Ovis aries: one gene and its partners. The protein of the gene in region 1 purifies or fractionates together with the protein of each later gene. This does not show direct contact. Links are inferred from orthologs where the notes say so. Each region holds a gene or a part of one and is shown on either strand. Other genes may lie near its edges.

Region 1 (3,748 bases):
AAAAACTCAAACAAAATCTCTGAGACCAGTATACAAATACAATTAGGGTCATAGCTCATCTCTTTAAAAATCCTTGGCTGTTAAATTGATATATTTAAAGTAAAACAGTGAACAAGCTAGTCAATTACAATTCATATTTACTTCAGAAAGGTCTACTATTAAATCAGCAAGATTACAACACTTGAGAGCCTGGAGGTGGGAGTGGGAGTGATAGGAAAAAGAAAAGGTTAAAAAATCAACATCCCCTTGCTTGAGACAAAATAGAGCATATTCCTGATTTCTACGCTAATGGTGAAAATACAAGCACGGGGAATCTAATTTTCTCAATACTAGTATTTAGTCGCAAGGCACTGATCTGGTCAATATTACTTTAGTTCATTCATTTGACTTCTCCACTTAATAAACATTGTAGCATTAGTTGCCAGTTAGGGTGTTGAAAAAGTCAGGCAGAGAAACCGAAACACACTCAATAGATTAAAAAGTAATTCAGCTCAATTACATTATGCAAAATTGCTGATTTTATATTTGCATCAATGCATTCACAATACTCTCAATCACATACCTCAAAAACTTGAACAAATTCTCCTAAAAGCTGCAGGTCAGTACTTTAAAACCCATTTCAGTGATTAAAAAAGATAGATGACTTACTACTAGAGTTACTACTTCTGTGTATACACAATATTTTTCACTTCCAAACCCTACCTTTGGAAAGAAATGCAGAGATCATAAATGGTTTTCTCCAACTACTGCTTCCATGAGTTTCAAGACTGTAGTATTCAACATTATAAATCTAACCAAAAGTCTTCTTGGAACATCAAAAGATCACTATTGCTACCTGAATTTCTAGGGACTAGATAATATGGCCTACTGAAGCATAAAAATAAAAATCCCAGCAGTGCCAAGATTCACTATGCACCTGAAATAAATAAACATTTTTAGAGTACAAATTTCTCACCTGTAAAATCCGGATCAATCATACCGACTGTCAATGTTATGAAGAATAACAGATCAGATACAACAGGCTGAGACAGACCTCAAAATACTGCACAGAAATACCTGGTGTATGCTTCAGCAGAAGGATACTAACCACCCCCGGAAAATGAACCCTCCACCCAAAAAGGACCTCCCTCCTCCTCATTGATTATGCATAAAACATTAGGCCACCTCTATACTGTTTAACATATTAGCATAAATAGAGCACGTGACCACTCAAGTGTCAAATCCTGAGTACGTGATCATGGATTTTGGCCCTGGTTACCTTTAAAGTTCTTGATCACTAACTTCTTAGCAGAGCCAGGCTTGCTGTTAGCAAAGCTAGAGACGGTGGTGGAAGATTTGGCCAGGCCGTTTGCGTGATGCACCGAAGCCACAGTAGAGATTAATATACTCTTATTTTTAAGTTGCTGCTGCTGAGATGTTGCAGCAGTTGGTGAAGATGAGGACGAGGACGAGGATTCCTCAGCCATCTTCGCATCAAACCCTACAAACTCCAGGTTTTCTTCAAAACGCAGCTTCTTCTGTATCGGTACGTGGCTGGGAGCAGTCACTGGGACCCCCAGGCACGAGAAGGACGAGGTTGAAGGGGATGCCGAATCCCTGGGTTGTAAAGGAGGAGTGGAAGAGGAGGAAGAGGTGGAATCAAAGTCTTCTCTCTCGTTACTACTGTTACTGCCGCTACTGCTGCTGCTGCTGTTTAACTTTCTCTTCTTGGCAGAGGTGGGCGGAGTGGTGCTGGTATTACCATCAGTGGCTGATCTGACCTCTTGAGCAGCAGCAGCAGCTGAGGGATTGGGGGAAGAAAAACCTGTTGGAAACATGAAAATAGCGGGGTCAACAGGCAGACGAGCATCAAAAACCTACGTTTATATGCCTGCGTGCGTGTAGGAGAGAAGGTGGCAATGCTAGAGGGGGAAGGGAATAAAGAGAGGAGAAACACAGAGGACGAGAAGGAAAGTGAAGGGGGGGCTCCACCCGGGGAATGGGAGGGTTTGGGAAGGAGGATAGGCTGACACCAGGAGTGAGCAGAACAAGGGGGGAGAGCGAATGAGGAGGCAGACAGGTAAACGGCCGTGCCGTCCCCCTCCCCTGCTTTTCAGTCTCTCTCCCCCCCTTTCTGCAGGAGCGACTCAGTAAGTCTGTGAGGCTGCAGCTCCTCCTCCTTTTCTCCCTCTCTCTGGGAGGGGAGATGCAGTGCTTGGGGGGAGGGGGGAGGGGGAGAGAACCGGAGCTTGTTATTGTCAATAGCACAGGAGGCTAAAGATGGCGCCACTTCCGGTCACGCGGCGCCGAGGGAGGAGCGGCGTCAGTCCGCGAAAAGGGGGGGGTGGAGAGCACCACTGCAGGCGCCCGGGGGGCGGGGGAGCTGGAGTGGGGGGAGGCGGTGGGAAAGGGGCCGCTGAGGCGCCGGAGACGCTCGCGCTTCTGCCCTCGCACTCGCTCTCCCTACCCCTCCCTCTCCAGTTCCCCTGCCTAGGCAGCACTCTCCTCCCCCGGCCCACCGATAACTCCCACCCTCTCCTAAAAGGTCCCGCGGGAAGCTTCGCACCGCAACGCCCTTACCGGAAGTGACTGGGCAGACACTTTTCATAGCGCCCAGATCCCGAAGCCCCCAGGTCTGCAGGACTTGGGGGGGGGAGGGAGAAGGGGGGGCAGAGAAGGGGAAAGGAAGGAGGGGGCGGGCCTTCGAGACACCTTCGGAGCTCCGGATTGGAGCTTCCAGAATGCGAGGCGGGCAGGGAGGGGTGGTGGCGGGAGCAGGAGCGGGAAGGAGTCTGCAGGGGAGGGAAGGTGGTGACGGTGAGGGGCGGGGTGAGCTAGCTGGGAAAATAAGAGGGAGGGAGGGAGTAAAAGTAAAGGAACGGAGAATAGAAACTTTGAAAGAGATAAAGGAATAAGGAGGGGTTGCAAGGCGAGAGGAGTAACTCGAAATGGAGGAAAACATAGTCATGCCATTATGCCTGATGCTAGGGAGGATGTCAAGATGTTAAGATAGGACAGGAAAAGGAAAAGAGCTTAGATACAAAGAAGATAAGTGAGTGTTTCATTCAGTTGAGCTATACATTGTTTCTCTTTCATGTCAAGGACAGCGCTGACTCAATACTGAGTTTTGATACTTTTCTCAGTAACATACATGCAAATCCTGTTACCTTCCTACCCTACCGGAAGCATTCTCTAAGATGGCTGGCTAGAGTTAAAAGGGTGCATTTTAAGGCCAAGAAACAGGAAGGTAACTAACACGTCCCTCTAGCACAATTCCTAGGGCCAATCCCAGCTCCAACTCCCATCAGCCATTAACCCGGTCGGTAATTTACAGACTAAACAAAGCCACTTCTTTTTACGAAATCCTGGTTCATGTTATTTCTCCAGACATTTTAAGAGAGCAATATCGGTAAAAGTCAATGTTTTCTACCAATATAGTACACAAGCCCAAAATTTAAAACATTAATCCTAAAAACAAACCTTTAAATTTGGTTATATTAACAACAATAAGCCACGTAAATCCCTTGTTGGGAGTTTTTCTTTAACCCGAGGGTATTGGGGAAGGGGAAGTAGGAGAACCTGGCAAACAAAACTAAATTTCCCAACCTGTTGCTCTTCCTAACCACAGAAACATTCAAGGAGCATGTACCGAAACACTTCGTATGCCAGACACAATACCAGGTCCTGTCACTGAGAAGCAGTGGGAGAAGAGTTTCAAAATTAAGTTTCTATAACAGTACTATAACCAACGTACAAAGTTCCGTGGGAA
Region 2 (3,648 bases), on another chromosome or scaffold:
GCTGTGCTGCGCACAGGGCTGAGCTGCCCTCACACCTCTTTCCTCCTGTCTCCGGCTTTCCACATCGGAGGCACAGCCTGGGACCCCAAGGCTACGTGACAGGAGCTTCTGCTTCACAGTCCACTGAGACGCAATGGGGTGGAGGGGTGGGCGGGCCAGAGGCGCCGGCTCCGTGAGGCACCGGCTCCGTGAGGCACCTACGTGCAGCAGTGGCGCATGTGGAAGTTGACGACATACTCGGCATTAGTCCTCTGCACGGAGATGGCAAAAGGCTCGAAAGGGTGGAAGGTGAAGGCAACGAGGCGTCGCACCGTGTGGTTGATGGGGCGGCCCAGTAAGCCCGCCTGAATCTCAAACTTGAGCAGACCAGAGTCCCGGGCGTAGAACCTAAACAGAACAAGGAGAGGAGAGCGTGGGACAGACATTCACCACCACCTTAAAACCTGAATAGCAGGAAACTCATGAATTAACCTCACCGATGAAATCTCCTCTAACGTCAGCCCCCAGTCAAAATCGCCTATGTCTGATCAGCTCATTTTACGAGCAGGGAGATTATGAACTTCACTATGCTGGCCCGAATCACTGGGTCATTTGTCTTTCCCAAGATGACCCTTAGTGATGGCCTTGATTACGGCCTCCCTTTTTCTAGCAGCTATCTGCCCAGCTACCTACCCGCCTAGGCCAGGGCTGGAAATGATAATGTAAGCCAAGTAGGCATGCTTAAATGTTCAGGCAGCCACATCAAACAAAGTAAGAAGGAAAAAGTGAAATTAATTTTAATAATATTTTAGTTAACCTAACATCGGCATCTAAAATACTATCATTTCAACCAATAATATAAAAGATACTCAAGAGATATTTCATTTTTATGTACTAAGTCTTTGAAATCTGGTGTGTACTTCACACTTGAGCACATCTCATGTTAGTGCTCACCAGCCATGGGAGGCTGGTGGTTACTAGAGGACAGTGCAGATCTAGGCCTATATCTTGAGTTCTTCTTTCCTCTTTTTAAAATTTATTTTATGTATAAAAAAAATTATTTTTTGGCTGTGCTGGGTCTTTGTTGCTGTGCACAGGCTTTCTCTAGTTGTGGCGAGCAGGGGCTATTCTCTAGTTGCAGTGTGAGGGTTTCTCATTGCAGTAGCTTCTCTTGCTGAGGAGCATGGGCTCTAGAGCTCAGGCTTTGGCAGTAGAGGTAAGTGGGCTCAGTAACTGCAGTGCAATCTTAACCTCTGGACCACCAGGGAAGTCCTGAGTTTTTAACTGTTAAGAAATTCTTTTGGAAGGTTCTTTTGCACACACAAAAACAAAATACTAACTAGTTTCTACTTTTTCATCTAACATGGTAAGAACAAAGATGCTTCCATTCATCCCAGGACTTAAATGCCTTTTGCCCATATGCAAAGCAAGTGCCCTGTGAACTTGGGAACTAGAGATGACTGGCAGGGTTGGGGCTGAATTGGAGGAAGCTCAAGAAAACAAGGAGCTCTGAAATAAAGAGCTCTACAATGCATTTCCTTCTCGGAAAGGAAATATATAGGAGATACAAAGATATTCATATCCCTTGACTCAATAATCCAAGAGCTTATATCCTCGGAATTTAAGTGAAGTAAAGAGTGACGTGAATCAAGATGGCTACTAAAGCATTTTGGGCTTCTCCAGTGGCTCAGTGGTAAAGAATCTGCCTGCCAATGCAGAAGACATAAGGTTGGATCTCTGGGTTGGGAAGATCCCCTGGAGGAGGGCACGGCAACCTACTCCAGTATTCTTGCCTGGAGAATCCCACGGACAGAGGAGCCTGGTTGGCTATAGTCCACATGGTTGCAAAGAGTTGGACATGACTGAAGCAACTTAGCACGCACAGAGCATTAGCTCTAATGTAAAAATGCAGGTAGAGGATTAAATGCTCAGTAATAGGGGAACAGCTAAATAAATTATGCCACATCTATTTTATGGAATAATACACCATCATCAGGACTGTAACTTTAAGGACTATGTAACAATATGGAAAATATTTATTAAATAAAAGCAGGCTACAAGGTACTATGCCAACCGTAACTACAACTGCATAAATGTAAACACACACACTGGCAAAGGCTAGAATGGAATATATTTAATACAATAAAGGTGTCAGAGTAACGGCATTATCTCTTCAAATGACTTTAATATCCCTACATTTCTCATTTTAAATTAAAAAATAAATAAGAATTACAAGAAGTCAGGGTCAATGGCATTTCCAGATTTGTTACTTAAGTTTATCTTTTCAAATCAGAAAGGCAGGACAGTCAAAAGGGAGAGAAATGTTATCTCGGGCTACATGACAATGTCAAATGAACCCAATTATCCGCTTTTATGTGTGAAAACCTTCCCCTCACCCACATGGTCCCCAGCACACAAAGGGCTTATAATGTAAAGCTAGTTGTTGATCCTAAATCTAACGACCAGTTTACAGGAAATAGGGGGAAATGAGAACTGCCAGGGATGCAATGAGCAAAAATCCAGAATGTGGGGAATACTACCAGACAAACAACCTGGTTTCTTCAACCACTTCACTACAAAGAAAGTAACGGGAAGCAGAACTCACAAAATAAAAGACTTAGGAGGACAGCAACCAGAAAAAAACCATACAGACCTTCTTTAGGTCTTGACTGGAACAAACTATAAAAAGAATATATACAAAACAATAGGAAAACGTGAAAACTCACTTGATATCGGTGATCTTAATAAAGGTTTAATTTTCGTAAGATGGAATAATGGTATTGAGGTTATATTTTTTTTAAGTCCTTATCTTTTAGAAATTCATACTGAAATATCTACAAGTGAAATGCTATGATACCTGGGCTGTGAGAATCCAGGCTGGCAGGTGGGAGGGGAGCAGTGGTGGCAGAAAGAGAGGAGACAACACTGACAGCCGCGGAGGTGGGGTGATAGGGACAGGGAGGCTCATTGCACTCTTCCACTTCTACATGTTTAAAAATGTCCGTAATAAAAAAATTAACTGGTTCCCAGAACTCGATTACAATTTCCCAAAGGAAATATTACAAACAGTAAATAATCGCACAGAATATGTTACACAAGCCTATTTAATACACAACGAAGCTGGATTATGAAATACTAACTACCACTGTTTCTATGTGAAGAAGACTTTCCAGAAACTACCACTGTTTCTATGTGAAGAAGACCTTCCAGAACCCAGCTCACACCTCCCTTGAAATAACCCCACAGCGGAAGTGGTGCCAGCTCCTCTCTCTAGCATCTGTGAAAGCAAAAACAGAACCCAAGCTCCCAGCACGGAGGGACAGGGGGGTCTGTGAGCTGGACACCCGGGACAAAGGAACTGCAAGGTGCTAAGAGTAACACGGCAACCTGCGTTCCAACATTCTTCCAATGGAGGAAGCGTGAGTTTCTCCAAAACCTACTTGTTCCCCAAACTGTCTCTCCTTTCCATTAGGTAACAGGAGGGGATAAAATAATTTGAGCTGAGTAAAATGTAAGTCTCAATTATTTTTAAGTTTCATGTGAAATGGTATTAGGTCATTAAATTGAAAAGTATGGTTCTCTTCCCTGGCTACCTTAAAAAGAGAACAATACTTATCTGAATTGGATATTTTGAGGAGAGGCAAAGAGCAGAACTAATTCATTTTTGAT
Region 3 (3,680 bases), on another chromosome or scaffold:
CCCACAGGAGAGAACAGAGCCACTAGAAGGGGTGCTGGGGGCTGCTCCCCTTTTATTAGTGACAGGTTTCTCTCAAGGGAGTGTAGCACCCCTCCCCTTGACAGCTGTCTGACCCCTGTACGTCAGCCCTTCAAGTACCCTTTCGTCAGAAAAAGAGCCCCCGCATCCGCCTGCCGATGCCTTGTCGGTCATAGAGGACGTTGAACTTGTTCACGAACTGGTTCATGGTGTTGCACGTCTTGGTGATAGTGCCAAGGTAGGCCATGAGCCCCACATCATTGCATTGCTGTGAGGGGACAGAAAAAAAACAAAGTTTCCCAGGAGCTCTGGGTCCCCCACCATGTGACCAGGGAACAGGAGCCGGTCATATCCTGCATGCAGAAGACAGCAGGAGCCCCACCTCCCCATCCTGAGCCTTGCACTCACATCGTAGAAGTCTGTCTTGAACTTGTCTGTGCTGAGTACCGGGAGGCAGTGACACAGAGCGTAGGCCTCCCGCAGGATCTCATGGTTAAAGGGGACCTCGCCTGAAGGCACAAGAAGCTGCATCAATGCGGATGCTGTCACTTCCCCAGGAGGGAGAGCAAACGTGCTTCAGGGACCAGGGAGATAACTGTCCTACCTGCCTCAGAGGCCTTGACGTACTCCAAGATGAGCTTGACGCGGCTGTGCAGCATCTTGATGGCGCTGTGCTGTGCGATGAGGTGTTCAGCCACTGGGGGGGTGGTCAGGCTGAAGTTGAGAAGGTGTGTGGCCACACCTTCCCCCCACTTCTAAGGAAGCCCCTGCAGCCACCCTTACCAGTGGAGTTCTCTCCACTGCCTGTTGCTGTCATTCGGGCCACGTGGTCCACCCCAATGCGTTCTGCTTCCTCTGTGGCCAGAGTGTAGGTCAGCTCAGCAAACAGCATGGTGGCCTATGGGACACACAGAGTCAAAAGCAGCAGACCCCAGGGGCAGGCTGTGTGGGTTGAAGGGTAGGGCATTACCTACCTCTCCATTGATTATATCTATGACTGACTCAAAAACGCTGACCGGAAGCTGTGAAGAAGAGAGAGCACAGCTCTTAACTAAACATCAGACACCTGAACCTACACTAAGCACCAAAACCGGACTGGGCCCTTTTCACATTACATTTCCTCAGCTAATCTTCCCAAGGACCTACTGAAGTGGAACTCATTCCCATTTTCACATGCGGGGAAAATGCAGTTTAAAGGTTAAATGACAAGTCTCACAGATGGTAAACTGCAAAAAGATTCAACAGAGATGTCATACAATAAAAGCAGGGGCAGAGCGACAGGCAGGCAGGACAAAGTGGGCACGGGGTCACTGTACTCACATCTGTGTGCTTGGTCATAGGGTTCAACTTAAGAAACAGAGGGCTCTCAATTATCTCGCACACCTGGAAGAAGGGAGGATGCACATGTGTGTCAGGGTCCATCTTCCTTCCCCTCATTCTCTCGTCTCCACCCCAATATGTACCTGTGTGAACGTGTATACCTGCTTATGGACGTGGATGTCGGAGGGGTCAGGTGGCCCACCTGTGGTGTACCAACCCAGAAACTCCAGCTCCTTGAATACCTGTTTAACTGGAGAGAAAGGGGCCAGGACACACAGTATATCTTTAAATCATCCTTCAATTTGAAACTCCTGGTGTGTTTTTACCAGCTTCTCCCCTTCCCATCCTGGCTCCACGTAGAACAACTAATCTATTCTGTCTTTTCTCACTCCTTGCTTTCTTTGCGAGGAATAACCCATATGTGTTCTTTTTCTAAGGTCTCTTCAGCTACTCTCTCTTCATTATTCCTCTACTCTGGTCCTATTTCTCTGTTTATTTTTTCCCCAACCCTCTCCATCTTCCCCATTCTTTTCTCCCCTACTCCCACTCTTCTCCCCCACGTCTATTCCCCTCTCACACTGCTCCTCCTTGGTGTAATAATATTCCTTGTCAATGATAATCTTCTCTTCCACGGTGTGGGACAGCAGTTCAAAGGAGTTCATCACCTCAATATTTCGGCCCTCCTGCTTCCCGATCAGAGCCCCAATAACTGGAGGAGAAAAGGACACAGAAGAGGTGAGGGTGAGGACTCCTCCAGGACTTCCCTGGTGGCTCAGATGGTACAGAATCCGCCTGCAATGCAGGAGACCTGGGTTCAATCCCTGGGTAAGGAAGATTCCCCTGGAGAAGGGAATGGCAACCCACTCCAGCATTCTTGCCTGGAGAATTCCAAGGACAGAGGAGCCTGGTGGGCTACAGTCCATGGAGTCACAAAGACTGAGCGACTAACACTAAAGGAATCCTCAAACTTCTCTAATAATAGCCTGAGGGTCTGAGGTCACGTGAACCAAGTACTAGAGAAATGATTTGCGGAGGAGGAACTAGCTTCAGCAAAGGAAGGAGAAAGGACCACTATTTGAGGGGAGGAGGCTGGAGAATGACGCCGAACACTCACCCTGCATAGGCCGCCCCTCCTGCGAGCGCATGCGAATCCAATGGTCTGAGATGTTGAGAATGACGAGGGGATGAAGAGCGACTGAAACGCTGCCAGTCACTCCGGAGGCCATCACGCTGGGGACGACTAAGGAGGGGAAAGAGGGGGTGAGAGTCCAGGCCCCACGTTCCTCCCGGGAGCCGGGAACGGGAGACGGCAAAGTCGGGCCATCCATCCCTCCCGCAAGTTAACCCAGGGAGCTCGCTGCCGGCTCGCCATCCCGACTGCTCCCGGGACTCTAGGAAGGCCTCGACAGGCCCGCCAGGAAGTCTCCAGAAGCCGCCCCCGCACGGCCCGTTACCTGCAGCATCCACCTCCATCCCGCTGCTCCCTCCAGTCCCGTTCGCCGCTGCCGCCGTCGCCGCCATTTCCCCCGCGCCCGCCAGCGTCGGCCCCGCCCCCTCCCTCCCGGCTTCCGTAGGCAGCGGCGCATGCGCGTTGTCGCCGAGGCGCACGCCTGCCCGCACCCTGGGCCACTCCGGGCCGTTCCTACTTGGCCTTGCGGGGAAGACTCGGGCCTTGCGGGGAAGGCCCGGGGCAGGGAGATCCGGCTGGTGTTTGTAGCCCCTTTTCGCCTGCAACTGACCGTGAACAAATTACCTAACCCCACCCTGATCGTCCTCGTCAGTAAAACTGGGATAAGGCCGCTTAGTTCCTAAGACTGTTGCAGAATGAATGGAACGTCATTTTGCCGCGCTCGGAATAAAACCGAAATCCCTAATCACGGCCTGCAGAGCCCTGCAAGATTCGGGCCCTGCCTGACCAGCTGGCCATGGGCTCTACTTTGCTGCTCCTTGGTTCCCCTGCTTCAGCCACACTGGCCCTCACGTCTGCTCCTTTCACACGCCTCACTCACGCCCACCTGAGGGCCCTCTGTCACCTTCATCACTGTAACACCGATGACCAAATCCGTGCCTGACACAGGGGCACCTAAGTGACGTTTGAGTGAATGCTTTGCAGTGGAGCCTGGTCTTGAGTGACTCTGTCTACACGGCTTATCTTTCCTCTTTCTGTTAACACCCCCAGCGTTTTCTAACCCGTCCCAACTTCCCTCTACCTTCCATCTCCATCAATCTTACCAAACTTAACTTTGGCAAACCTGGCCAACTCCAGCCCTCTCCCCACCCCTGCACCCAAGCAAGTTGGGTACACTGCCTTTACCCCATCTCCCATCTCATTGCCCCTACAA

Evidence for each region.
Region 2: the proteins of CUL4B (region 1) and DET1 purify together in Homo sapiens (affinity purification with mass spectrometry; 3 studies listed by BioGRID and IntAct, counting the BioPlex papers as one, with this or other methods). This does not show direct contact. The link is inferred for Ovis aries from reciprocal best matches to the Homo sapiens genes CUL4B and DET1.
Region 3: the proteins of CUL4B (region 1) and COPS6 purify together in Homo sapiens (affinity purification with mass spectrometry; 8 studies listed by BioGRID and IntAct, counting the BioPlex papers as one, with this or other methods). This does not show direct contact. The link is inferred for Ovis aries from reciprocal best matches to the Homo sapiens genes CUL4B and COPS6.

Annotation. Positions count from the first base shown.
Region 1 is NC_056080.1:104,888,383-104,892,130, forward strand, and holds the start of CUL4B (cullin-4B), read right to left. Parts: upstream 2,799-3,748; 5' UTR 2,588-2,798; coding exon 2,560-2,587; intron 1,805-2,559; coding exon 1,259-1,804; intron 1,095-1,258; exon of another isoform or gene 978-1,094; coding exon of another isoform or gene 956-977; intron 1-955.
Region 2 is NC_056071.1:18,907,657-18,911,304, forward strand, and holds part of DET1 (DET1 homolog), read right to left. Parts: intron 388-3,648; coding exon 198-387; 3' UTR 1-197. UniProt on the Homo sapiens protein: Component of the E3 ubiquitin ligase DCX DET1-COP1 complex, which is required for ubiquitination and subsequent degradation of target proteins. The complex is involved in JUN ubiquitination and degradation.
Region 3 is NC_056077.1:36,794,509-36,798,188, forward strand, and holds COPS6 (COP9 signalosome complex subunit 6), read right to left. Parts: upstream 2,873-3,680; 5' UTR 2,860-2,872; coding exon 2,793-2,859; intron 2,579-2,792; coding exon 2,453-2,578; intron 2,048-2,452; coding exon 1,916-2,047; intron 1,589-1,915; coding exon 1,500-1,588; intron 1,402-1,499; coding exon 1,339-1,401; intron 1,041-1,338; coding exon 993-1,040; intron 917-992; coding exon 802-916; intron 716-801; coding exon 623-715; intron 528-622; coding exon 427-527; intron 287-426; coding exon 146-286; 3' UTR 30-145; downstream 1-29. UniProt on the Homo sapiens protein: Component of the COP9 signalosome complex (CSN), a complex involved in various cellular and developmental processes.